Linked DNA regions of Stegostoma tigrinum. The protein of the gene in region 1 purifies or fractionates together with the protein of each later gene. This does not show direct contact. Links are inferred from orthologs where the notes say so. Each region holds a gene or a part of one and is shown in the gene's direction. Other genes may lie near its edges.

The links. Proteins that work in one complex are often made in the same cells at the same time.
Region 2: the proteins of ribosomal RNA processing protein 1 homolog A (region 1) and serine/arginine-rich splicing factor 6-like purify together in Homo sapiens (affinity purification with mass spectrometry; 3 studies listed by BioGRID and IntAct, with this or other methods). This does not show direct contact. The link is inferred for Stegostoma tigrinum from reciprocal best matches to the Homo sapiens genes RRP1B and SRSF6.
Region 3: the proteins of ribosomal RNA processing protein 1 homolog A (region 1) and lyar purify together in Homo sapiens (co-immunoprecipitation; 3 studies listed by IntAct, with this or other methods). This does not show direct contact. The link is inferred for Stegostoma tigrinum from reciprocal best matches to the Homo sapiens genes RRP1B and LYAR.

The regions. Positions count from the first base shown.
Region 1 is NC_081365.1:1,312,069-1,319,816, forward strand, and holds the start of ribosomal RNA processing protein 1 homolog A, read left to right. Parts: upstream 1-4,638; 5' UTR 4,639-4,651; coding exon 4,652-4,772; intron 4,773-5,919; coding exon 5,920-6,002; intron 6,003-7,574; coding exon 7,575-7,632; intron 7,633-7,748. UniProt on the Homo sapiens protein: Positively regulates DNA damage-induced apoptosis by acting as a transcriptional coactivator of proapoptotic target genes of the transcriptional activator E2F1.
Region 2 is NC_081372.1:22,887,591-22,895,036, forward strand, and holds the start of serine/arginine-rich splicing factor 6-like, read left to right. Parts: upstream 1-4,002; 5' UTR 4,003-4,143; coding exon 4,144-4,250; intron 4,251-4,768; exon of another isoform or gene 4,769-4,845; coding exon of another isoform or gene 4,846-4,940; intron 4,941-6,365; coding exon 6,366-6,526; intron 6,527-7,138; coding exon 7,139-7,257; intron 7,258-7,350; coding exon 7,351-7,446. UniProt on the Homo sapiens protein: Plays a role in constitutive splicing and modulates the selection of alternative splice sites. Plays a role in the alternative splicing of MAPT/Tau exon 10. Binds to alternative exons of TNC pre-mRNA and promotes the expression of alternatively spliced TNC.
Region 3 is NC_081354.1:55,231,381-55,239,538, reverse strand, and holds the start of lyar (cell growth-regulating nucleolar protein), read left to right. Parts: upstream 1-4,714; 5' UTR 4,715-5,040; intron 5,041-8,158. UniProt on the Homo sapiens protein: Plays a role in the maintenance of the appropriate processing of 47S/45S pre-rRNA to 32S/30S pre-rRNAs and their subsequent processing to produce 18S and 28S rRNAs. Also acts at the level of transcription regulation.

The DNA.
Region 1 (7,748 bases):
TATTTTTGGCCCAACTATCTTCAGATCTTCATCAACAACATTCCATCTGTCTGATGGTCAGAAGTGGGGATGTTGACCAATGACGATGTATTGTTTAATACCATCCTTGACTCCTTGGATGCTGAAGTAGTAAATGTCCAAATGCTGCAAGATGTGGACAATATTGAAGTTTGACCTGACAACTGGCAAAGTAACATTCACACCACACAAATGCTATCTCCAACAAGAGCGAATCCACCTGTTTTCCCTTGACATAAGGTCAAATTCCACTACAGCATATGGTGAAGTTTGAATTAAAATAAAACTAAATCTGAGAGAAAGAACTATCCTAATGCTGACCATCTAGTTACTTGCTGTCAATTATCTTAAAAACCCATCATTTTCACTCAAGTCCTTACAGGAAGGGAATTTGCCACCGTTACGTGTTCTGGCTTACATGTGACTCCAGGTCCACAGCAATTTAATCGACCCTTACTGAGATGGGCAACAAATGCTGGTCTTGGCAGTGACTCTGAATGAATAAAAAGGTAACCTCCTTCTTTGGCCAAACATTTGGGCATCTATCCGAAGAAGTTGGTCTGTCAGTGTTGTGGGCAAAGCCCTGGCACAGGTTACCAAGATTCATTGTGAAGATTACCAGTGTTAATGGGCAATGCAACAATGGTCATGGGCATTGGTAAGAACAACATAGTTAGGGAAAGGGTTGAAGATTTGCAGAATGAATGTAAGAAGTTAGGTAGGAAGTTAAGGTAAATAATTCTTTGAAGTTGGCATCACACATAAATAAGGTTGTTAAAAGCGTGTTTAGCAGGCTTGCCTTCATTGCTCAGACCTCTGAGTACAGAAGTTGAGACATTATGTTGAGGATGTAAAAAACCTTTGCTGAGGCCTTTTCTGGAGTACTATGTCCAGTTCTGGTCGCACTGTTGTAGGAAGGATATTATTAAGCTGGAGAGGATTCAGAAGAGATTAACCAAGATGTTGCCAGGAATGGAGGGTTTGGCTTATAAGGAGAAGCTGGAAAGTCTGTGACTTTTTTCACTGAAGTGTAGGAGGTTGAGGGGTGACCTTATAGAAGTTTATAGAATCACAATGGATATAGGTAAGGTGAATGGCGGGTGTCTTTTCCACAGGGCAGGGGATTTCAAGACTAGGAGACATATTTTTAAGGTGAGAGGCAGAAGATTTTAAAAAGATACAGATTTTTTTTACAGAGTGGTTCATGTGTGGAACGAACTCCCACAGGAAGTGGTGGATGCAGGTAGAATTCTGTTTAAAAAACATTTAGGTAAGTACATGACTAACATAGAAACATAGAAGATAGGATCAGGAGGAGGTCATTCGGCCCATCTAGCCTGCTTTGCCATTCTTCACGATCATGGCTGACCGTCCAACTCAAAAGCCTAATCCTGCTTTTTCCTCATAACCTTTGATCCCATTTGTCCCAAGCGGTATAGCTAGCTGCCTCTTGAATACATTCAATGTTTTGGCATCAACTACTTCCTGTGATTATGAATTCCACAGGCTCATCACTCTTTGGGTGAAGAAATGTCTCCTCACCCTCATCCAAAATGGTCTATCCGAAATCCTCATACTGTGTCCCTGGTTCTGGACACACCCACCATCGGGAACAACCTCCCTGCATCTACCCTGTCCAGTCCTGTTAGAATTTTATAAGTCTCTATGAGATCCCCCCTCATTTGTCTGAACTCTAGCGAAAACAATCCCAACCTAGTCAATCTCTCCTCATACTTCAGACCCACCATCCCCAGAATCAGAGATAATAGGAACTGCAGATGCTGGAGAAACCGAGATAACATGCCAGAGCCCGAAACATCAGCTTTCCTGCTCCTAAGATGTTGCTTGGCCTGCTGTGATCATCCAGCTCCACAACTTCTTAGCCCCAGAATCAGCCTGGTAAACCTTCACTGCACTCCCTCAAGAGCAAGAGCATTCTTCCTCAGAAAAGGATACCAAAACTGCACACAATATTCTCAGTGTGGTCTCACCATGGCCCTGTACAAGAAGTATTTGAAGGGTTATGGGCCAAGTGCAGGCAGGTGGTACTAGTTTAGGTTGGGATTACGGTCACTGCAGATCAGTTGGACCGAAGGGTCTGTTTTGATGCTGCATGACTCCATGACTAACAAGTTTGAGGCTTTCAAAAGTGAGATAGTGAGACTTCAGAGGCATTCTGCTCCAATTAGGGTGAAGAGCGAGGCTGGTAAGAGTAGGGAATAATAGATTAATAAAGATATTGACGCTCTGGTCAAAAATAAGTAGGTATATATTAGGTATAGACAACTGGGCTCAAGTGAAGAGTACAATGGGTGTAGAGGCATTCTTAAGTGGAAAATCAGGAGGGCAAAAAGGGAATATGAGATAGCCTTAGCAGGCAAGGTCAAATATAATCCAAGATAATAAAGTGCGGAGCTGGATGAACACAGCAGGCCAAGCAGCATCTCAGGAGCACAAAAGCTGACGTTTCGGGCCTAGACCCTTCATCAGATGAATCTGATGATCTGATGAAGGATCTAGGCCTGAACCGTCAGCTTTTGTGCTCCTGAGATGCTGCTTGGCCTGCTGTGTTCATCCAGCTCCGCACTTTATTATCTCAAATATAATCCAAAGTGATTCGACAAGTACATTAAGAGCAAAAGAGGAAGTTATGAGAGAATAGGACCTCTTAAAGATCAATGAGATCGCCTCTGTGTGGAATCTCAGGCGACAGGAGATTATTTCATGTCAATTTTTACTGAGGAGAAAGAAATGGAAGGAAGTCAATAAATACTGAGGAAATAAATATTGATGACCTGAAAACAGTCCACAATACAAAAGAAGAGGTAAAGGTCTTAAAAAACATATAGGTGGATGAATCTCTGGGGCCTGATCAAGTGTATCCCAGGACATTGTGGGAAGTTAGGGGAGAAACTGTGAGGCCCTATCAAAGACATTTGGTCATCTGCAGCCATGGATGTTGTGCCAGGGTGGGCTATGGTTTGCAGGTGCAGCAGGTAACTAAGATGATACATGGAATGTTGTCCTTCATTGTTAGAGGACTGGAGTTTAAAAACAGGGAGGTTATGCTGCAGCTGTTAAGGGTGTTGGCAAGGCTACGCCTGGAGGCATAGATAGAGTGGACACTCAGAGACTTTTTCCCAGGGTGGAAATGATTATTACGAGGGTGCATTATTTTAAGGTGATTGGAGGAAGGTATAGGGGAGATGTCAGAGGTAGGTTCTTCATACAGAGTGGTGGGTGTGTGGAATGCACTGCCGGCAGTGGTAGTGGAGTCAGATACTTTAGAGACTGTTAAGCGACTCTTGGATAGGCACATGGAGGGTTGTAAAATGTAGGATATGCAGGGTAGATTGATCTCAGTAGGATAATAGGTTAGCACCACATCATGGGCTAAAGGGCCTGTATTGTGCTGTACTCTTGTGTGTTGTGTTCTACGAAACCTGGTCAGCATAGGCTGGTTTGCTCGAAGGGTCTGTTTCCGTGCTGTATGACCATGGCTATTGACCAATATTACCATGGTCAATGGTGAAGGTAATCATGCTATAAAGTGTGTGTATTTTTATTTTTGCGTGTTTTCTTTCAATTGTGTCCTGAAAGCAGAAAGGACTGTTTTAAAACCATTATTTGAAAAGTTTACTGCATGCTTTGAAAAACAAGTCACATGAGCCTCATGGCAAGCATGCAGGAAACAGTGTTTGAAACAAGCAGCAATTGAAGTTTAGTTTGTGGTCAGACTGAAGCTGAGGGGTTGTCTACAAGGTGTTATATGGTTTATGGAACAAAAACACTGTTGTTGAAAAAGCTCAGAAGGTCTGGCAGCATCTGTGGAGGAGAAAACAGAGCTAACGTTTCGGGTTCAGTGACTTAACTCTGTTTTTCTCCTTCACAGTTGCTGAGCTTTTCCAGCAACTTTGTTTTTGTTCCTGATTTACAGCAATTGCAGTTCTTTTGGTTTATATGGTTTATGGCCTGGTGACCAATTATGGATAACAAAAGCCTGGTTTTGTCTCTGTATGTGACGGAGGGGTGTGTGTGTGTGTGTGTTTGTGGGGAGTGGGGGGGCGTTGTAAGGGAAGAACGTTTGTCACTGTTTAACTGCAAAGGGTCTATTCGCTGGTTATAAAGTCATTCTTGTTAATTACAGAAACCTGGGCAGTGCTTTCTATCGACTTTGATCTGGACAACAGGTAAGGTGGAAAATTTTATGTACTAATTTTAATATTTTTGTGATAACTTGGAAAATAGCAAGGCGCGATTTCCAGTGAGTTTGACACAGGAAAAAACTGCAGAGGCCCCGGGGTGGAAGGGAAGACAGGCGGAGGCTGGAGGAAAGGAGAAGTCACCGTTTCGGCTATTACCCTTCTTCAGGACTCAGCTGGATTTCCAGTGGGTGCTGACAGTGGACAGTAGTTGACGTTACCGCGGTCATTGTGCCCCTGATAGCTGGGCTAGCCGCTCCAGGCCCCAATCCGGCAAGAGTGGCCGAAGTCCCACCGCTGCTCACTGACGAGGGTCAACACAGAAGGCCCTGCGTGGTTCCCATGGTGACGCTGCGCGCTGACGTCAGGGGGCATCCACTGCGCAGGGGCGGCCCTCGGCCCTCCGCATTCCCAGCATTCCCTGTGCGGACATGGCGGCCGCCGCCGAGGTTCAGTTTGCCCAGCGGCTCGCCTCCAACGAGAAGCGCTTTCGGGATCGAGCCGTTCGTAAACTCCGCCGCTACCTGAGTGCCCGCTCGCAACGACTCTCAGGTAATAACAGCGGGGGGCTTCCGTCCCTCTGCCCCCGGAACGCACCGGGGGGCGCATGACATTCACACGTGGGTACCTGAGGGGTGGGCAGAGAGAGACAGTCAGATAGAGGAGCGCAGTTAGGCCATTCAGCCCATCGATTCTGCTGTACCGTCAGTCATGGCTGATATGTTATTCAATCCCATTCTCCTGCTTTTTCCCCATAACTAGTCATCCCCTTACTAATCAAGAACCTATCTATTTTTGTCCGAAGTACACTCTGTCACTTCAACACCAAAACCCCCTACTGTAATAAGTTCCACAGAGTCACCGCTTCTGGCTGAAGAAATTCTTCCTCATCTCAGTTCTAAAGGGTCGTCTCATCACTTTGGGCCAAGCCATTGGGTCCTAGTCTGTCCCACTAGTGGAAACATCTCTACATCTGCTCTCTTCAGGCCTGTCAATATTCAGGCAGGGTGGAAAAGAAGAGAGGGATAGGGCGGGGAGAGGGGATGGGTTAGGACAGATGATGTTGGACGACATGGGGATCCAATGGGAAGCGGAAGTCTGGTGACTCTGCTGTTGACTGATGAGTGCTGAAGAGGATCTGGGTTACCAGGTAAAGGGAGGTACAAGGGTTATAGGCGTCACTTTTGGAGAATGCCACCGGTGACTGTTGGGGCAGTGTAGATGTGGAAGGGCAATGAGAGGATGAGTTCAGTGAGCTGATTCTCTGTGGGTGTAGGTGTTAGTGGGCTCACAGTGAACAGAAGGAGGTGTCCACCAACTGATCCTGGATTAACCTGACAAAAGTAAGATTTGGAAAAGAACAAGAGGTGACTAAAGTTGTCAGGTTGCAGTAACAGCTGGTGATATGTGGAGCCAGGTGGAACTGAACAAGAAGCAATGGAAAAGACAATTTCTGAAAGAAGGATGACACTGAAGGAGGTTGCAGACTGGAGAGACAAGACTTCTCTACATCATGATAAGTATACTTACACTGGATGTGAAATAATATGCATCTCCTCAGAAGCTACCAGAAAAGTCGTCTTTTATTGCATGATGCTGTTTGACATGTGGTAATTGTATAGGCTATTGTCCATTGGTGTATGCATGATGCTGTAGTTTTCAGAACTCCAACAATTCATTCTATTTTATTTTTTATAAGGTGGTTTCAGTCAGGAAGAGTTACTGAAAATGTGGAAGGGCATTTTCTACTGCATGTGGATGCAGGACAAACCACTTTTACAGGTAAGTCATGATTATAGGAGGGCATCCCCAACAGCAGGTTGCAAAGGTTTTAGAGTAGATCTATAGCTTGGGTTGTGGGTGTTGAGGTTGCTTGGCTTGTTGAGCTGGTTCGTTGTTTTGCAAATGTTTTATTACCGTGCTTGGTAACATCCTCAGTGCAGCCTCCGATGAAGAGCCAATGTGTTTTCCTGTCTGGTTTTTAAACTTGGGTCCGTTGAGATGGATTGCATCACTTCCAGTTTTCCTTCGTAGTGGAATGTATATGGGGTCGAGTTTGACGTGTTTATTAATAGCATGCTTTGTGGAGTGCCAAGCTTCCAGGAATTCCCGTGCCTGTCTCTGCCTAGCCTGTCCCAGCATCTTGGTGTTGTCTCAGTCGAAGTTGTGGTTCTCCGTGTCCATGTGGATTGAGATGAGTGAGTATTCATCGTGTCTTTTTGTAGCCAGTTGGTGTTCTTGTTGTTAGTTTCCTTCCTGTTTGTCTGATGTAGAGTTTCTCACAGTCTCTGCGGGGGATTTTGTAGATGACATTGGCCCTGTCCATGGCAGGGAGTGGGTCCTTAGTTCAGGTGAGCAGTTGTTGTAGGGTTGTGCCACTCTGATGCCCAGCATTCGTAGGAGTCTTGTGGTGAGTTCCAACATGTTCCTGATGTAGGGTAGTGTGATGAATGTACGGTAGTGTGTAGAATCTTTCTGATGCTATTCGTGTAGTCATCTTCTTCTGACCCAGTTCTTTGGATATCTGTTATCCTTGAACACTTGGAAGAGGTATTCTTCTTCCTCTTGGCGTAGTTCTCTGTTGCTGCAGTGTGATCTTGCCCAAAAAATAGTATTCGCACGCAGCTTCATGTGTGCGCACTGGGATGGTTCCTGTTGAAGTTCATTACTTGATTTGTGTGTGTGGTTTTTCGGTGTACTTTTGTTAGCAAACCCTGATGGGACTGTGGATGGGGAGGTGATGCCTAGTGATATTCTTGCTGGACTGTTAACCCACAGCCCTGATAACGTTCTGGGGATCCAGGTTTGAATCCCACCATGGTAGATGGTGGAATTTGAATTCAGTAAATATCTGGAATGGAGAATCTAATGATGACCATGAATCCATTGTCGATTGTCAGAAAAACCCATTGGGTTTGCTAATGTTCCTTAGGTGCTGCAGGGTCTGACCTGGACTGTGTGCAGCAGGACTGTCAAGTGACAGACAGTGAGCTCTCTTTGACCTAACAAGCAGTTCTCCAGTGGCCATGTGTCTTTTTGTTGACGTTTTCTAACTACCTTAATATTGAGTCAAAAGTTCTTGATTTGAAGTTTGGCTTGTCTGCCTCACTCAGAAAATGAAGAGTCCCAGGTTGTAGGAAGCACAGAATGTGTTTGTGGGGGTGAGTGTTGCCACTGGCACACTGAAGCATTCATGTGATGTAACTCTGTGACAGGGTTGTTCAGTCTCCTTTCTGCAGGCAGTAAGTATGCATCTGCGCCCCCTTCATCTGGACAAGAGTTGATCACAAATTGAAAATTGGAGATCTAGGCTTGTGTGGTTCAACTGAATAAAATCTCTACTGTTTGTTACAGGAAGAACTGGCAAACACCATTTCCCAATTGATACACGCCTTCAAAAATCTGGATGCCAGTAAGTTTCTGCTGTTCTGACCATCAATATCTTGTTCCAGAGAGATACATTGTGAAGTCGTGGATAACATGGCTGGATTGTGTTGTGTTGGGCTTTTCCATCATTGAGGAGCCTCC
Region 2 (7,446 bases), on another chromosome or scaffold:
CAGCAACATCAAGTTTGTCGCACGACAGTTGGTTGCGCTGCACAGCAGGGGAGAAAAATGACTGAGAAAGCTTTACTGATCAGGGATGTGATTGGAAGGGGAACTGACAGACGTTTCTATGGCAGCAATTGAGACTCTTGAATAGTATCAAAAATAGAAGTTGCTGGAAAAGCTCAGCAGGTCTGGCAACATCTGTGCAGAGAAATGAGAGTTAATGTTTTGGGTCTGTGACCCTTCCTCAAAACGGGTCTTTTGTTTTTTTATTTCATCTGGAATGGTCTGTTGCCTCCCTGGTGTCTCAGAGAGGTTTCAAGGCATTCTGAAAGGGGAGGGTGAACACCAGCAATCATAGTATATATCAATGCCGACTACGTGTGTAAAAAAGGAGTAAGGTTCCACAACAGGAATTTAGAGTGTTAGATAGTGGATTAAAGAGGAAAACTGCTAAAGTTGTAATCTTCGGATAACTTTCAGTGCCATGTGCTAATGGGAATAGGAATAGGAGGACTGGTCAGATGAAGGCATGGCTAAAGCGATAGTGTATGAGAGAGGGCTTTAGCCTTTTGCGTCATTGGGACAACTGGGATAGGTCAGATCTGTACAAGCTGGATGAGTTGCACCTGAACTGGAATGCGTCCATTATCCTTGCTGTGAGGTTTGCTTGCACTACTCAAGAGATTTGAAACTAATTTGGCAAGGGGAATGGGGCACAGAGTGAATGTAAAGTCAGGAGCAAATCCAATCAGAGAAAGAATGAATGATAGGACAGTCTAACAGGTGGACCAGATATGGACAGAAAAGGCACACAGAACGTCCAGAAAGTTAAATTGTATCTATTTTAGTGCAAGGAGATGGACTGGTAAGATGGATGGACATAGATCATTGACCAGCATGTGGGAATATGATATTGTTGCAACCTCTGAGACATGTTTTAAGGAAGGACAGGACTGGCAACTCGACATTCCAGAGTATGGAAATGTCGGGTGCGCTGGGGAGAATGTAACAGTGGTAGGGGCTCTGCACTATTGATAATGGTAACCATCACTACAGTAATAAGGGAGCATGTATTAGAAGGATTCTCAAATGAGGCCTTCTGGGTAGAGCTTAAAATACAAAAGTGAGTGCTTACTTTGCTGGGAGACACAAGTCTCTAAAGTCAGAGAGAAATAGAAGGGCATTAATTTAGGCAAATCACAGAAAAGTAGGAGAGAAACAAGGTTGTAGTTGTGAGTATTTGAACTTTGCTAACGTTAACTGGGATTGCCTTTGTGTGAAAGGTTTGAACGGGTGGAGTGTTTAAAAGTGCATTCAGGAGAACGAAGCCGGTTATTGATGCACAGGTGCTACTTGATAGCACTGCTGAAGACACCTCCCAACTCTTTCCTGATGTTTGAGAGTGCACTGATGGGCACTAACTAGCTGGCTTGGATTTGTCTTGCATTTGTGTACAGGACATACCTGGGCAATTTTCCACATTGTTGGATAGATGCTAGTGTTGTAACTGTATTGGAAGCGTTTGGTTAGGAGAGCAGCAAGTTCTAGAGACAAGTCTTTGGTACTATTGTCGGAATGTTGTCAGAGTCCATAGCCTTTGTACTATCTAGTACCTCTAATCATTTTTCCTGATATCATGTGGTGTGAATTATATTGACTGAAGACTTGTGTCTGTAATACTGCTTACTAGTTGCTGGTTAAGTGGTTGAGGTTTCAGTGGGCAAAGATTTTGGGGATAGTAACCAAAACTCAGTAAATTTCAATTAACTTGGAAATGGATAAGGATAGTGTAGAAGTTAATTTTCTTAACTGGGGGAAGCATCAAATTCAATATTAGACAGGATCTGGCCAACATCAACAGAGCAGTTACTTGCAGGTAAGTCTACATTTGGAAAGTGGGAGTCTTTTAGAAGCAGTAGTGAGAATTCAGGGCCAGTGTGTTCCCCTAAGAGTGAAGAACAAGGGAAGCAAGTTCAGGTGACCCTGGATGTCAAGGGAAGAAAGATCACTGGACCCAAAAGTCAACTCTGCTTTCTCTCCAATAGATACAACCCAGACCTGCTGAGTTTTTCCAGCAATTTTTGTTTCAGATTTCCAGCATCAGCAGTTCTTGGATTCCCACCCCCTAATCGCACGAGTTTCTCAGACAGTTTCTCATTTTGCTGCAGGGAGAAGCTTTCAGTACTTGGTCCCATTAATTAACCAGAAGCACAGCACGTGAGGGTATGAACAGAAATAACAAGGTGTTGAGATAATAGGAACTGCCGATGCTGGAGAATCTGTGATAACACGCTGTGAAGCAGGATGAACACAGCAGGCCAAGCAGCATCAGAGGAGCAGGAATGTTTGACATTTCAGGTCAAAGATCCTTCTTCAGAAATGGGGGAGGGGAAGGGGATTCAGAAATAAATGGGGAGGGCAGGGGAAGGTGGATAGAAAATGGATAAAGAAAAAGATAGGGTGAGAGGAGACAGACAGGTCAAAGAGGCGGGGTTAGAGCCAGTGAAGATGAATGTAGGTGGGGAGTTAGGGAGGGGCTAGGTTGGTCCAGGGAGGACAGACAGGTCAAGGAGGCAAGATGAGGTTAGTGGGTAGGAGAGGAGGGTGGGGCTTGGTTAGGGAGGCAGGGACTAGCTGGGCTGGTTTTGGGATGCGGTCGGGTGAGGGGAGATTTTGAAGCTTGTGAAGTCCACATTGATACCATTGGGCTGCAGGGTTCCCAGGCGAAATGAGATGCTGTTCCTGCATATTTCAGGTGGTGTCATTGCGTCAAGCGGGAGACCCAGGATGGACATGTTGTCCAAGGATCTGGGGGGTGGGGGGGAAGAAGAGTTGGAATGGTTCATGACTGGGACGTGTAGTTGTTTGTTGCGAACTGAGTGGTGTTCTGCAAAGCGGTCCCCAAGCCTCCAAGATAACAAAGTGTGAAGCTGGATGAACACCAAGCAGCATCTCAGGAACACAAAAGCTGACGTTTCAGGCCTAGACCCTTCATCAGAGAGGGGGATGGGGAGAGGGTTCTGAAATAAATCGGGAGAGAGAGAGAAAAGAAGATAGGTGGAGAGGAGAGTATAGGTGGGGAAGTAGGGAGGGGATAGGTCAGTCCAGGGAAGACGGACAGGTCAAGGAGGTGGGATGAGGTTAGTAGGTGAGAAATGGAGGTGCAGCTTGAGGTGGGAGGAGGGGATAGGTGAGAGGAAGAACAAGTTAGGGAGGCAGGGATGAGCTGGGCTGGTTTTGGGATGCAGTGGGGGAAGGGGAGATTTTGAAGCTTGTGAAGTCCACATTGATACCATTGGGTTGCAGGCTTCCCAAGTCGAATATGAGTTGCTGTTCCTGCAACCTTTGGGTGGCATCACAATGTCAGAAGATGATGCAATGGATTTGGAGGTTGGTGGGGTGGTACGTGAGGACGAGGGGGATTCTGTTTTGGTTATTATTGCGGATAGGGGATGTGAGGGATGAGTTGCAGGAAATGTGGGAGACACGGTTGAGGGCATTTTCGACCACTGTGGAGGGGAAGTTGTGGTTCTTGGGGAAAAAAAGGGCATCTGGGATGTTCGGGATGGAATGCCTCATCCGGGAACAGATGCGTGGAGGCAAAGGAATTGGGAATAGGGTATGGCCTTTTAACAGGGAGGTGAGAGGAGGAATATTCTAGATAGTTGTGGGAGTCGGTAGGCTTAAAATGGATATCGGTTTCCAGAGCTGGAGATAGAGGGGTCCAGGAAGGAGAGAGATGTGTCAGAGGTGCAGGAAAGCTGACGCCTCGGGTCTGGACCCTTCTTCAGGGAAAGGTGCTGCTTGGCCTGCAGCGTTCATCCAGCTCTACACCTTGTTATTTCAGATTCTCCAGCATCTACAGTTCCTACTGTCTCAAACTCTTTCACAAAACGAACTACAATACCCAGAAGGCAGAGCGTGCAGTGATGACGACAGGTGTGAGCTGGATGGCAAGTCCCGGTGACGTACCCGGCGAGTTTCTCCCCGAGGATGGGAGTGCAGAGATAGAGGGGAACGCTGACTGGTGTACCACATCACCCGAGAAGCACAAAGAAATAAAGCGGCGGGTCGATCGGAGTGAGGGAGAAAGCGCGAGCCCGGGGTGGGGGGCGGGGAAGAGAAATAATAAATAAATAGAAAGGGAAGATGCCGCGTGTTTACGTCGGGAGGTTGAGTTACCAAGTTCGTGAGAAGGACCTGGAGAGGTTTTTCAGGGGTTACGGCAGGCTGCTGGAGGTGGACCTGAAGAATGGGTGAGGGACGCGCGGCGGCGGCGGGTGCTGACGAGGTTGTGATAGGAGCCGAGGGGCCCCACTTTCCCCCTCTCTTCTCACCGCCCTTTTCTCTCTTCCCCTTACCGCTATCGCTGGAAGTTTACTGCCTCACTCCCCATCACCTCGGCGATTGTGGGAATGCCGCCTCCATTTTCACCCCCTCCCCTTTGAGCGGCGTTGGGGGAAGGGGGTGCCGCGTGGATTGGGATAAAATGGCGGCTGGGAGAGGGGAGGGTGAAGCGAGGCCAGGGCGGGAGAGAAGTGGCTCCAAACGCGAAAGGGTACACCTTTATTTAGTCATTCTCGGCCCCCCCATATACTTTGTTTTTATTTGATTTCTCTCCCTCTTGCCTTCACCGCCGAGCGCCTTGCGTTAGCTTTACTTTTCCACATTCCGCTCGATGCATTTCCCGTGCAAATGTCACACCAGGGACCACCTTCCTCCCTCTGCTCAGTCCGCTCTTCCAAAACGTGAGGCGGTTTCTTTGTTTATACGCTCGACTTCACGCCATCCTCTCGCCCTCGCCGCCGACAAATGCCCATTTGTCAAAATCTCGCCTTTAATAGTTAGTTCATGCTGTCCACGTGGATTCGGCCAATCATAACAACATTCCGTCGTCGACCTGTCGCTTTTCCACACTCTATTCGCGTTTTAACACGACTGCCCAGGTGCTTTCCTTCTGCAAATTGTGCCCTTTTAAATTCTTGCAGAATCACTTGCTGTGTGGTAGTATTTGACCGGCTGTCGCAAAAGCTGTGGTTATGAAAGTGATTGGGCAGAACTGCAGGAATTTTAAACTTACAGTTTTGGATCCGAAATGCAGAAAAAGTAAGGTAGCGCTTAACATCAGAATTGTCGTTTGTTCCAAATGAGGCCTTTGAAGACTTGAGACGCATTTTATTAACACAGAAGGTGGATGGTTCGTGTGTGTAATGAGCTTCTTGAGGAACTGTGTACAATTCCAGCACTTAAAAGGCATTTGGATAAGTCCATGAATAGGAATGGTCTGGAGGAATATGGGCCAGGAGCAGGCTGGTGGGACCTGTTTACTTTGGGATTATGTTTGGCCTAAACTGGCTGGACAGAATGGTCTGTTTCCTGGCTGAATGACCCTATAATGAAAAGGGATTTTTGTTTTGCCTCCATAATTAGAGGGAACTGAGTTGAAGTTAGTTACTAGTTGGTGAAATAACAAAGGAATGTCTGGTTGAAATTGATCTACAGTGTTGGAACATGAAATTTCCTATCAGATGATAGTGAAAGAATTCATATTTCAAAAGGGCGGTGGATATTTGAAACATATTAGGGTTTGAAGAATTTTCAGGATAAAGGACTTAATGATTTGCCACTGACCAATAATTCCGAGAGGAAATTGCTGTCAATGTTAAGAATTTCATTTAACTTGTTGGACTTCTCCACAGCAGTCAGGGTTGGAATATCATAGAAACAGAGAGACTATTGTGTCAAAATCTGTACAATCTCATTTTTCACTTGTTAGCATTGATCCACTGATTTATTTTTAAGTTCTACAACAAATGTTTTGTTAACTGGCAGCTAGAGGACCAGGAGTGTATTGGTTAATCAAGTATGCTGATTAATCAAGAGGTCCATGAAATCAATGTAAAAGCACGCTCCTAAATATTTGAAATGTAGTGCAAGGGGTGTGTGTGTGTTTGTATGTATATCACTTTTTACAGCATTAATCACTTAATCTTGCAACTTTGCCTTAAGTTAAACTTAACACCATATAGTCTTCGCACCTTCAACTGACTACTCGAACATCACTGAGATGACAGTAACATGGTAAACCTCTGGTAATTCAGGTATATAATTCTTGCTGATTTATCAAGGGTGCCGGTTAAAACACAATTTGCTGTAGTTACATTTAGAAGCACTTGCACTTGCATCCTCTTTGGTTTATTAATTCTCCACATTTTGAATTGACTTGCAGAAACCTTTGAACTATCAACGATAGTCCACTTTGAGGGTGCAATAATTGCTGGAGGATATCTACCAAATAACCTAGTTGCAAGATGTTCATCATGTGAGCCATGCAAAGAGTATTTCATAATGTTCTAATTGATTCTTTTCAGCTATGGGTTTGTTGAGTTTGAAGATGCACGTGATGCAGATGATGCAGTCTATGAACTGAATGGGAAAGAACTTTGTGGCGAGCGCATAATTGTGGAGCATGCAAGAGGACCACGTCGTGATGGAAGTTATGGCGGTGGTTATGGTGGTGGTGGAGGTCGCAGTGAGTGGTTTAATATCTTGCTTAATATATTCTTGCATTTAACTTTTTTGTATTTGCTTTTAAATATTTCTAATGGCATTTTTATTGTTTTAAATTATATAACATTGTTTAAATTATGTAAGTGTTCATCCAAACCTTGTTAACAAGACCTTGATCTTTTAATTAAAAGAATCCAGTGAGGCTAAGATGTCTGCCCGTTCCGATTGACCTTGGCTTTACCTTACAATATGTAGCCTTTGGCGTTTGGCTGACCTAATGGAAGCCATGACGACAGCTGCCTTTGCCATTAGACCCTGGGTGATGAGGATGCCAAGGGTTAGACATTACTGGTTAATCTGAACTAGGTGCCTGTTACCATATGTGTGTTGTACCAAACTTCTAAAATCTGCTAGAATGTAAGTACATGATGTAATATCTAGTTTTAATATTTGGCAAAATAAATGCAGACATGCATGGTAACATAATTGTAGCATTTAGTGTAAATGCAAAATCTCTGAAATTAATAATTAATTTGAGTTTACTTTATAGTCTAATCTGTTTTTATTTTCCTGTAAAATATTGCAGATTTATTGTAAGTTAAGTGCTCACTGACTCTTTGTTAAACTTCTTAAGGCAGTGGTGGTTATGGATATCGAAGGAACGGAAGGGAGAAATATGGGCCACCTGTCCGTACAGAGTTCAGACTGATCGTTGAAAATCTTTCAAGCCGTTGCAGCTGGCAAGACCTAAAAGTAAGCATTGGGACTGCGTACAAATTTTTCAGTAACATTGAAATTGCAGTTTCTTTCTTATTTGCATTTTTAAATTTACTTTCACTTTTGAAGGATTTCATGAGACAAGCAGGAGAAGTGACCTATGCAGACGCTCATAAGCAGCGTATGAATGAAGGAGTCATTGAATTTAGATCATACTCTGATATG
Region 3 (8,158 bases), on another chromosome or scaffold:
TCCAAGAAATACTTCTGATATGTGCTTTTAGCAGAGATAGTAGGAACTGCCGATGCTGGAGAATCTGAGATAACAAGGTTTAGAGATGGATGAACACAGAAGGCCAAGCAGCGTCAAAGGAGCAGGAAAGCTGACGTTTTGGGTCGAGACCCTTCTTCAGAAAATGTTTTGAGCAGTTTGTTTATGCTATGTTTTGATCTGAGCACAGGGGTAAGAATCATTGGACACGACATTATGTTGCATCAAATGGACTATAAAGATGCAAGTTGTTGAAGTAAAAGATAAAATTCAAAGATATTTTTTTCCCTCCCTGGTTATGCAATGGTTTTGTCTTAAAAAGGGTAATTGAGATTGTCATCCATCCAGCACTATTTCTAAAACTGGGTGAAGAAGATGAAAAGGTGTAGGGGTTGGGTGAACATGAAGATGATCCAATATTTCTATAAGAAATTCCAGCTCAGAATATCCCAATACCTGATCAATTATTTTTGTAACCAACTGATTATGTTTTATTGCAGTGAAACTTCATGGCTCTTGAGCTTTAATTTGACTATTTTAATTTAGAATAATAAATGCCACCTTACCTTCACTTTGGGTAAAAACTCAACTAACCACAGACAGAGACAGAAATCATATTTAATTCAAATATACATTACCCATTGATCTAAAGACATTTGTTTCAACATTCAACATCATTTCAAACAAATATCGCTTTGCCAGAAATTCACCTTATCTAATACATTTTTTAACTAATGTAAAAAGTCATCCATAATTTTATCTTTTTAAAAAATTCTTTTCAGAACTATAACATAACATCACGGGCATGAAGGTATATCTGTTCCCTTTGCTGCAGAGTATCCTTCATGTTTCTAGAATAAAAAATAATGTGTGATTCAAGGATTACCACCTTGCAAGTATTTTTGACCTTCCAAAGTTTAGTGGGGTGGAGAGCAGGGGTGAGTCAGGTTTTCATATAATTGCAGCGTAAAGTCTGCATTCTTGTACTCCAGTCTGGAAACGGGACAACATTCCATTAGCTTTCTTGTGGTATAAACGCAAGAAACAAAAGACCATACAAGTCAATGCTTGAGGTAAATGTGGAAAGAAATATCACAATAAAGAGTGAAATAGTAGTGAGCAGAGTTTTTAAAGAGTTCAGAGCAGTGAAATAAGCTGTGCTGAGGTCATAGGGATTTGAAAATACCACAAATGAAGGGTAAGTGTGCGACAGATTGGGAGTACACTTGATATTGTAAAAGAATGACAGTGAATAGCAAACTATTTTACATCAGTCATAATTTTTATGTACATTTCAATAAAAGAGGGGAAATAAATGTCAGGAGGGATATAAAACAGCAGCAAGATTCACTTTCATACAAGCAATTTCCTCCCTAAAGGCATCATGAGTCTACCTACAGCACACGGACTACAGCGTTTCAAGAAGGCAACTCATCACCACCTTCTCAAGTGCGACTAGGGATAGGGAATAAATGCTATCCAGCTAGCAATGCCCACATCCCACAAGTCAATTAAAAATAAAAGTTGCTCAAGTACAAGGTCATTGAGCATTTTAAAAATAGTTAAGAAAGGAAAATTCAACTTATACTGTAATTTCCCAGTTTGAACTCCTGAATTACAATTTTGTTCATCTTAACTTTCCAAATATAACAGCCAATGGGGAACTTCAAACCAGCCTCTGCAGGAAAACAACACATATGGACCAAATACTGAACTACAGGAGCAACCATCCCAACACCCACAAACGAAGCTGCATTAGAACATTATTCCAACGAGCCACCACACACTGCAGCACAGAGGAACTACGCAGAGCAGAGGAAAATCACCTATACAGCGTATTCAAAAAGAATGGGTACCCTATGAACACAGTCTGCCGATTCCTCAGCAACAAACCCAAAGAAACAGACAAAACAGGCTCAGAAACCAGAACCACTCTCCCCTACATCAAAGACATCTCCGAAATGACTGCCAGACTACTCAGACCTTTTGGCATCAGGGTAGCCCACAAACCCACCAACACACTAAAACAGCAGCTAATGAATTTAAAAGACCCTATACAGACAACAAATAAAACGAACGTCATCTACAAAATACCTTGCAAGAACTGTGACAAACACTACATTGGACAAACTGGCAGAAAGCTAGCCACCAGGATACATGAACATCAACTAGCCACTAAACGACATGACCCACTATCACTCGTATCCTTACATACAGGTGAGGAAGGACACCACTTTGATAGGGACAACACATCCATCCTAGGACAAGCCAAACAGAGACACGCACGAGAATTCCTAGAGGCATGGCATTCCAACCGGAATTAAATCAACAAACACATTGATTTGGAACCAATCTACGATCCCCTGAGAAAAAGAACGGGAAATGACATCACCAACCCAAGGAAACCTAACCAGATAAATAGAAAGCGGGACATAACACCAGCGCTTCGTCGGAGGCTCACTGATGATGTTACCTAGAATGGTGACAAAACATCTGAAAACTAACCTTCCAGCTCAGCGAGCAAACTCACATCCACAGACAAGGATTTTGAAGTTAATGTTTCAGTGCAATAGAGAGGTGATTAAAAATTGACAAGGACAGGCGTAGTAGATGTATGGGACTTATAGCAGAATGGTGAGCATGCTATACTTTTAAGGACGTGTTGAAGTTTATGGTGGAGATTAGGAAGCCAATGAACAAAGTGTTGAAAAAGTAAAGATGTGAATGATGTCAATTGCAGTGAATAAAAAATAGGGATGACAAAGTGATATTTGAGGTGAAGGTTAGTGGTCATGCAGTTACTTTGGACATGAGGTTTTGTGTCTCAGCTCTGGAAAAAAATAGAACATTGAGACTCCCAGGATAATTGGGGCAAGCAAGGAAAGTGCATTCAGAACTTGCTTACACACTGCTTAATATCTGCTAAGTATCAGTAATGTCAAACTTTAACAATGATTTACATGATTTTATACTCCTCATTATTAAGAAAGTACCCTCCAAGTTATTCATAATTTAGATAGAATGCTAGCTGTTTATTAACACTGGTTAAATATAATACCTAATTGTAAAATATTTAGAAGTGAATTATCTGTGATACAAGACAGTAGTGAAATTAAATTAAATGCAATTGTATTAGCATTTTTTTCTCATTTGTAGTGGATAGCCCTCATATCTCGAATTGCTTAATTGTCAGAGGAATAGCAGCAATGCTATTCCTCTGGCAGCTTTTGTGCTCCTGAGATGCTGCTTGGCCTGCTGTGTTCATCCAGCCTCACATTTTATTATCTTAGCAGCAATGCTGTTGACTGACTACATTAATGGAAAGAATGCCACATTCCTAAAGATACTGGAATTAGAAATTACAACCAACAAATTCACAAGATTATTTTCAAAATATTAAGCATGTAGAGATCAGATCTTGAAATCCATCACAGATAGGTGTGGTTAAAACTTTCTGTCAAGGTGCTAAGTAAATGAATTGTACAATTTTCCCACAGAGTTTGCGAGGAAAGGGGTATGGCAAATGTAAATATCACCCAAAAGCAGGTTGTGTCAGGAGGAAAAGCCTCTGGCTACCTGCCTCTATTCCACAGTTTTGCCCAGACTGTGGCCCAGAAGAAGTAACATGCGGTGTCTCCCAGATATTTTGAAGCCTTTCACACCCTGTAAGAGGTTTGTCACTTAAATGCCCTCTTGACATCAGACCCTGACCTTCTGTTCTTTAACACATCCTTTCACTGAATAAAAACCTTAAACATCTTTAACTTTTGCGAATTCTAATGAATGGTCATCGACCTGAAGCGTAAACTCTGCTGCTCTCCCTGCAGAGATATTTGCTCATCTGTCCAGTAATTTCCAGCGTTTTCTGCTTAAAACATTCCGTGCCAGAAGAATAACAGGAAAAATCTGGTGGATTAAAATGTTGTTTAACATTTAATGTTAAATGTAATAATGTAAACAACATTAAATGTTGTTAATGCAGAGACAGACGGACTAGATCTCGGTTTGTTGGTGAGAAACGACATGTGAAGTTACTCGGCAGACAGACTGCTGTGAATAATGCTACGGTTATCTTGTCTGTGCAGGCAGCTTCCTTGACATATTGCAATCCTCACCAAAGATAAATCCTTTAAGTCATTATACCCTTATTCACATCCAGTAGAAAAAAAACAACAAAAAACTGATAGAATACGTGAAACACTTCAAAATTAGAATAAAATCCACAAAGTGATTGGAGATAAATACATTTAACCAGTCATCATTAATCATCATTGTACCTTTTAAATTAAAATTAAAAGCTAAGGGATTTCCATTTTCCATTCCACTTTCCTTCTGAATAGATTTTCATTCTGCAATAGATTTTGATCCTCAATCATGGTCCATCCTTTCTCCCTGTAATCACTGCCAAGCTAGGGGAGAGGTTTTCCGATTCAGTTTCCAGGACAACAATTAATAAAAGGGACTCGGGGCCTAGATGCACTAGCACGGGAAAGGCACAAAGCAAGTGGATGGCGGAACATGCAAACTGGAGGAAGACGGGAGGCTGGTGGAGGACAGCAGTCGAACCAACTGATGCTGTTGCGCCCCGGAACGCTTTTCCTGGTCGCTTAGGTCAGAGTAAAAGGAGCCATCTCCTCGCCTGACTGGGCAATAACCATTTACAACAAATTGCAACAAACAATTGGAACCCTGCCCGGATCGGGCCGCATTCCATTCCCGGGCAAGGTTCTTTACCTAATTGTTTACAGGCTCCGCGCTCTCTTCTTGCCCGTCCTGCCCTGGCCCCCACTCTCTGGCATCTCTATTCCCTTCTCCCTTTTTACGGTGAGCTCCACAGGAACGCGGCACCCGGAACCTCAGTATTGGGGCGGAGGAGATAGGGGAAGAGACGGAGCGTTGCATCTCGTTTTTCCGGTACCACACACGTGTGCGTTCGGGTTGGCTGGGGCTGCCGGAGGAGGGTGAGGAGCAGCGGGTCTGTTTGAGGAGCTCGCTGCAGCGAGTGGAGCTGAAGGGTAACAGGTAACTCGTTTCGTTTCAGACTGTTCCTGTTTTTTTGTTATGTCGATTCTAGAAGTTGTCTGGCTTCTTGCTGCAAGTTAAGCAAGGTGCTTAAGTCATTTGTAAATCATTTACTTAACTCGAAGGCCCTGTTTCGAATGAAAAAGAAATACACCTCCAACAGGCGGCTGCACTCCTCCTTCAGTAAGGACCCACTGAAGAGTCAGCTTCTTTGCTCCCCCCCGGCCTTGAGTTAACTTTTATTCTTTGCATTTCTTTCCACTCCATGTGCTTGGCATATGTATAAACGTACCTAAAGATGACTTGATAGTTTCAGTCTCTGTAATTTAATAATTTTATTTAATTGTAATTCTTCTTTTTAAAAAAATAGCATTTCACAACCTTAAGTCAATCCAAATTACTTTAGAGTCAATGAAATCTTTTTGAACTATAGTTGGTGTCTCAATGTAGGTGTCAATAAATTCAGAGCACGATAAGTGCTAACTGAGTGATAACTTACTTCTTCAGAGTGGGGTCTTGTGATATTTACATTCTCATGAAAACAGGTGCAACTTTAGTTCAATGTTTCAATTCAAAAATGGCACTACCAACAGTTTTGGAGAAACCACTAAATTATGTCTGTTCAAGTCTCCAAATTGGGACCTGAGCCCACAATCTCAACCTGAGACAGTAATACTTTTAATGTTGATTTTAGGCTATCAGTGTCATGATGGGAAATTGGATTTCATATTCCTCAATTTGGTGCAACTTTGAATTGTGGTGAACATCACCCAGTCTCTCTCCAAGTTAGCCTGAAGCAGTTCTACTTTCATCTGCCCATCAATGCAAGCCCTCAGCTTCATTGAGAGACGTTTTAATTTTCACACTTGTAAACTGTCAACTGCCTAATGCTATAACTGTCAAGTACTTAACAGTTGAATATTGGGAAGAACAAAGCTGTCATCTTTGGTTCTTCTTCACAGACTCCATCCCTCACTCTGGCCTCACTGTCTAAAAGTGAACTCTTGATGTTACCCTGGCATTTTTTTTGACCATTAGCTGAATTTCTTTTATTTGTTCTTGGGATCTGGGCATCTCTGACTGTGCCTGCTTTTGTTGCCCGTCTTTACTTTTAGAGTCATTCAGCACAGAAATAGACCCTTCCGTCCAACTAGTCCAAGCCAAGCATAATCCCAAACTAAACTAGTCCCTGCTCCTGGTCCATATCGCTTCAAACCTTTCGTATTCATGTGCTTATTCATATATCTTTTAAGCATCATAATTGTACCCACATCCACCACTTCCTCAGGAAGTTCATTCCACAGGTGAACCATCCTCTATGTAAAAAAAATTGCATCTTTTTTAAGTCTCTCATCTCACCCTAAAATTGTGCCCCCTAGTGTTCAAATTGCCCATCCTAGAGAAAAGACAAGTACCATTAACTCTTATACCGCTGTTTATTTTATAAATTTCTGTAAGGTCTCCTTGTTGCCCTAGAGAAGGTGGTGGTGAATAGGATTCTTGAACCGCTGTGATCCTTGGAATATAGGAGCATCCATATTGCTACTAGGCAGGGAGTCCCAGGATTTTAACCAAGCAACAGTGAAGATACAGTATTTGTATTCCTAAACTGGTGGTGTGTGATTTGGAGAGGAACATGCAACTGGTGGTGTTCTGATGTCCTTGTTCTTTGAGATGATAGAGCTTATGAGTGTGGAACGTGCTGTTACTGGAGCATTGGTGAGTTACTGCAGTGCATTTTGTAAGTAGCACAGAATACTGCTCCTGAGATGCTGCTTGGCCTGCTGTGTTCATCCAGCTTCACACTTTGTTATCTTGGATTCTCCAGCATCTGCAGTTCCCATTATCTCAGAATACTGCTACTGTATGTTGGTGAAAGGAGTGAAGGTTAAAAGTGTTGGATGTGGTACCAATCAAGTGTTCTGCTTTGTGCTGGATAAGGTCAAACTACTTGAGTTCTGCTGGAGCTGCACTCATCCAGGCAAGTGTAAAATATTCCATCACACTCCTAACTTGTACCTGGTGAGCAGGCATTTGGGAGCCCAGAATTAAGTTGTTCTTTGCAGAATGCCTGACATCTGTACTGCTCTTGTTGTCTCAGTGTGTTTATGGCTGATTCAGTCAGTTTCTGGTCAGTGGTAACCGCCATCAAGGTGTTGACAGTGGGGGTTTCGCCATTAATCTCAAAAGGTGATGGTTAGATTCTGTCATGTTGGAGGTGGTTATTGTATGGCATGAATGTTATTTGACAGTCGTTAACCCAGATCAGGATGTTGTCCAAGCCTTGTTGCATAAGAACAAGGACTACTTCAGTAGTTGAGTTGATATAGATTTTACTGCACCTTGTGCAATTGTCAATAAGCATGCCCCACCTCGATCTTATGATCAGGTGAAGGTCATTGTTAAATCAGCTGAAGATGGTTGGGCCTTATGCACTACCCTGAAGAACTTCTGCTGAGATGAATGACCTTTGACAGCAACCGTTTTCCTCTGTGCCAGATATGACTCCAACCAGTGAAGTGTCCATGCCTGTTTTTCTCTCTTCCCTCACCCCACGACCCCCATTTCCAATGTTTCCTGCAGTCCCTGCTACTGTTCTTGGTCAATGAAATCTTTTTGAACTGTAGTCAGTGTCTCAATGTAGGTGTCAATAATTGCTGTCCTGGGGTCAAGGCCAGTTAGACACACCTCATCTCATGATATCTGCTCGCTCTTATGTGTCGGGTAGCCTTGGCAGACCCAAATTGAGCATCAGCAAGCAGGTTATTGCTGAGATGATCATGACTAGAATAATAGGGCAATAACTGTCTGGCCTGGATTTGTATCAGTGATAATGGGAACTGCAGATGCTGGAGAATCCAAGATAATAAAATGTGAGACTGGATGAACACAGCAGGCCCAGCAGCATCTTAGGAGCACAAAAGCTGACGTTTCGGGCCTAGACCCTTCATCAGAGACGAAGGGTCTAGGCCCGAAACGTCAGCTTTTGTGCTCCTTTGCTGCTGGGCCTGCTGTGTTCGTCCAGCCTCACATTTTATTATCTTATTATATTGGCCTGGATTTGTCCTGCTTTTTGTACACGGGACTTCCCCGGGCAATTTCCCATGTTATTGGCTGG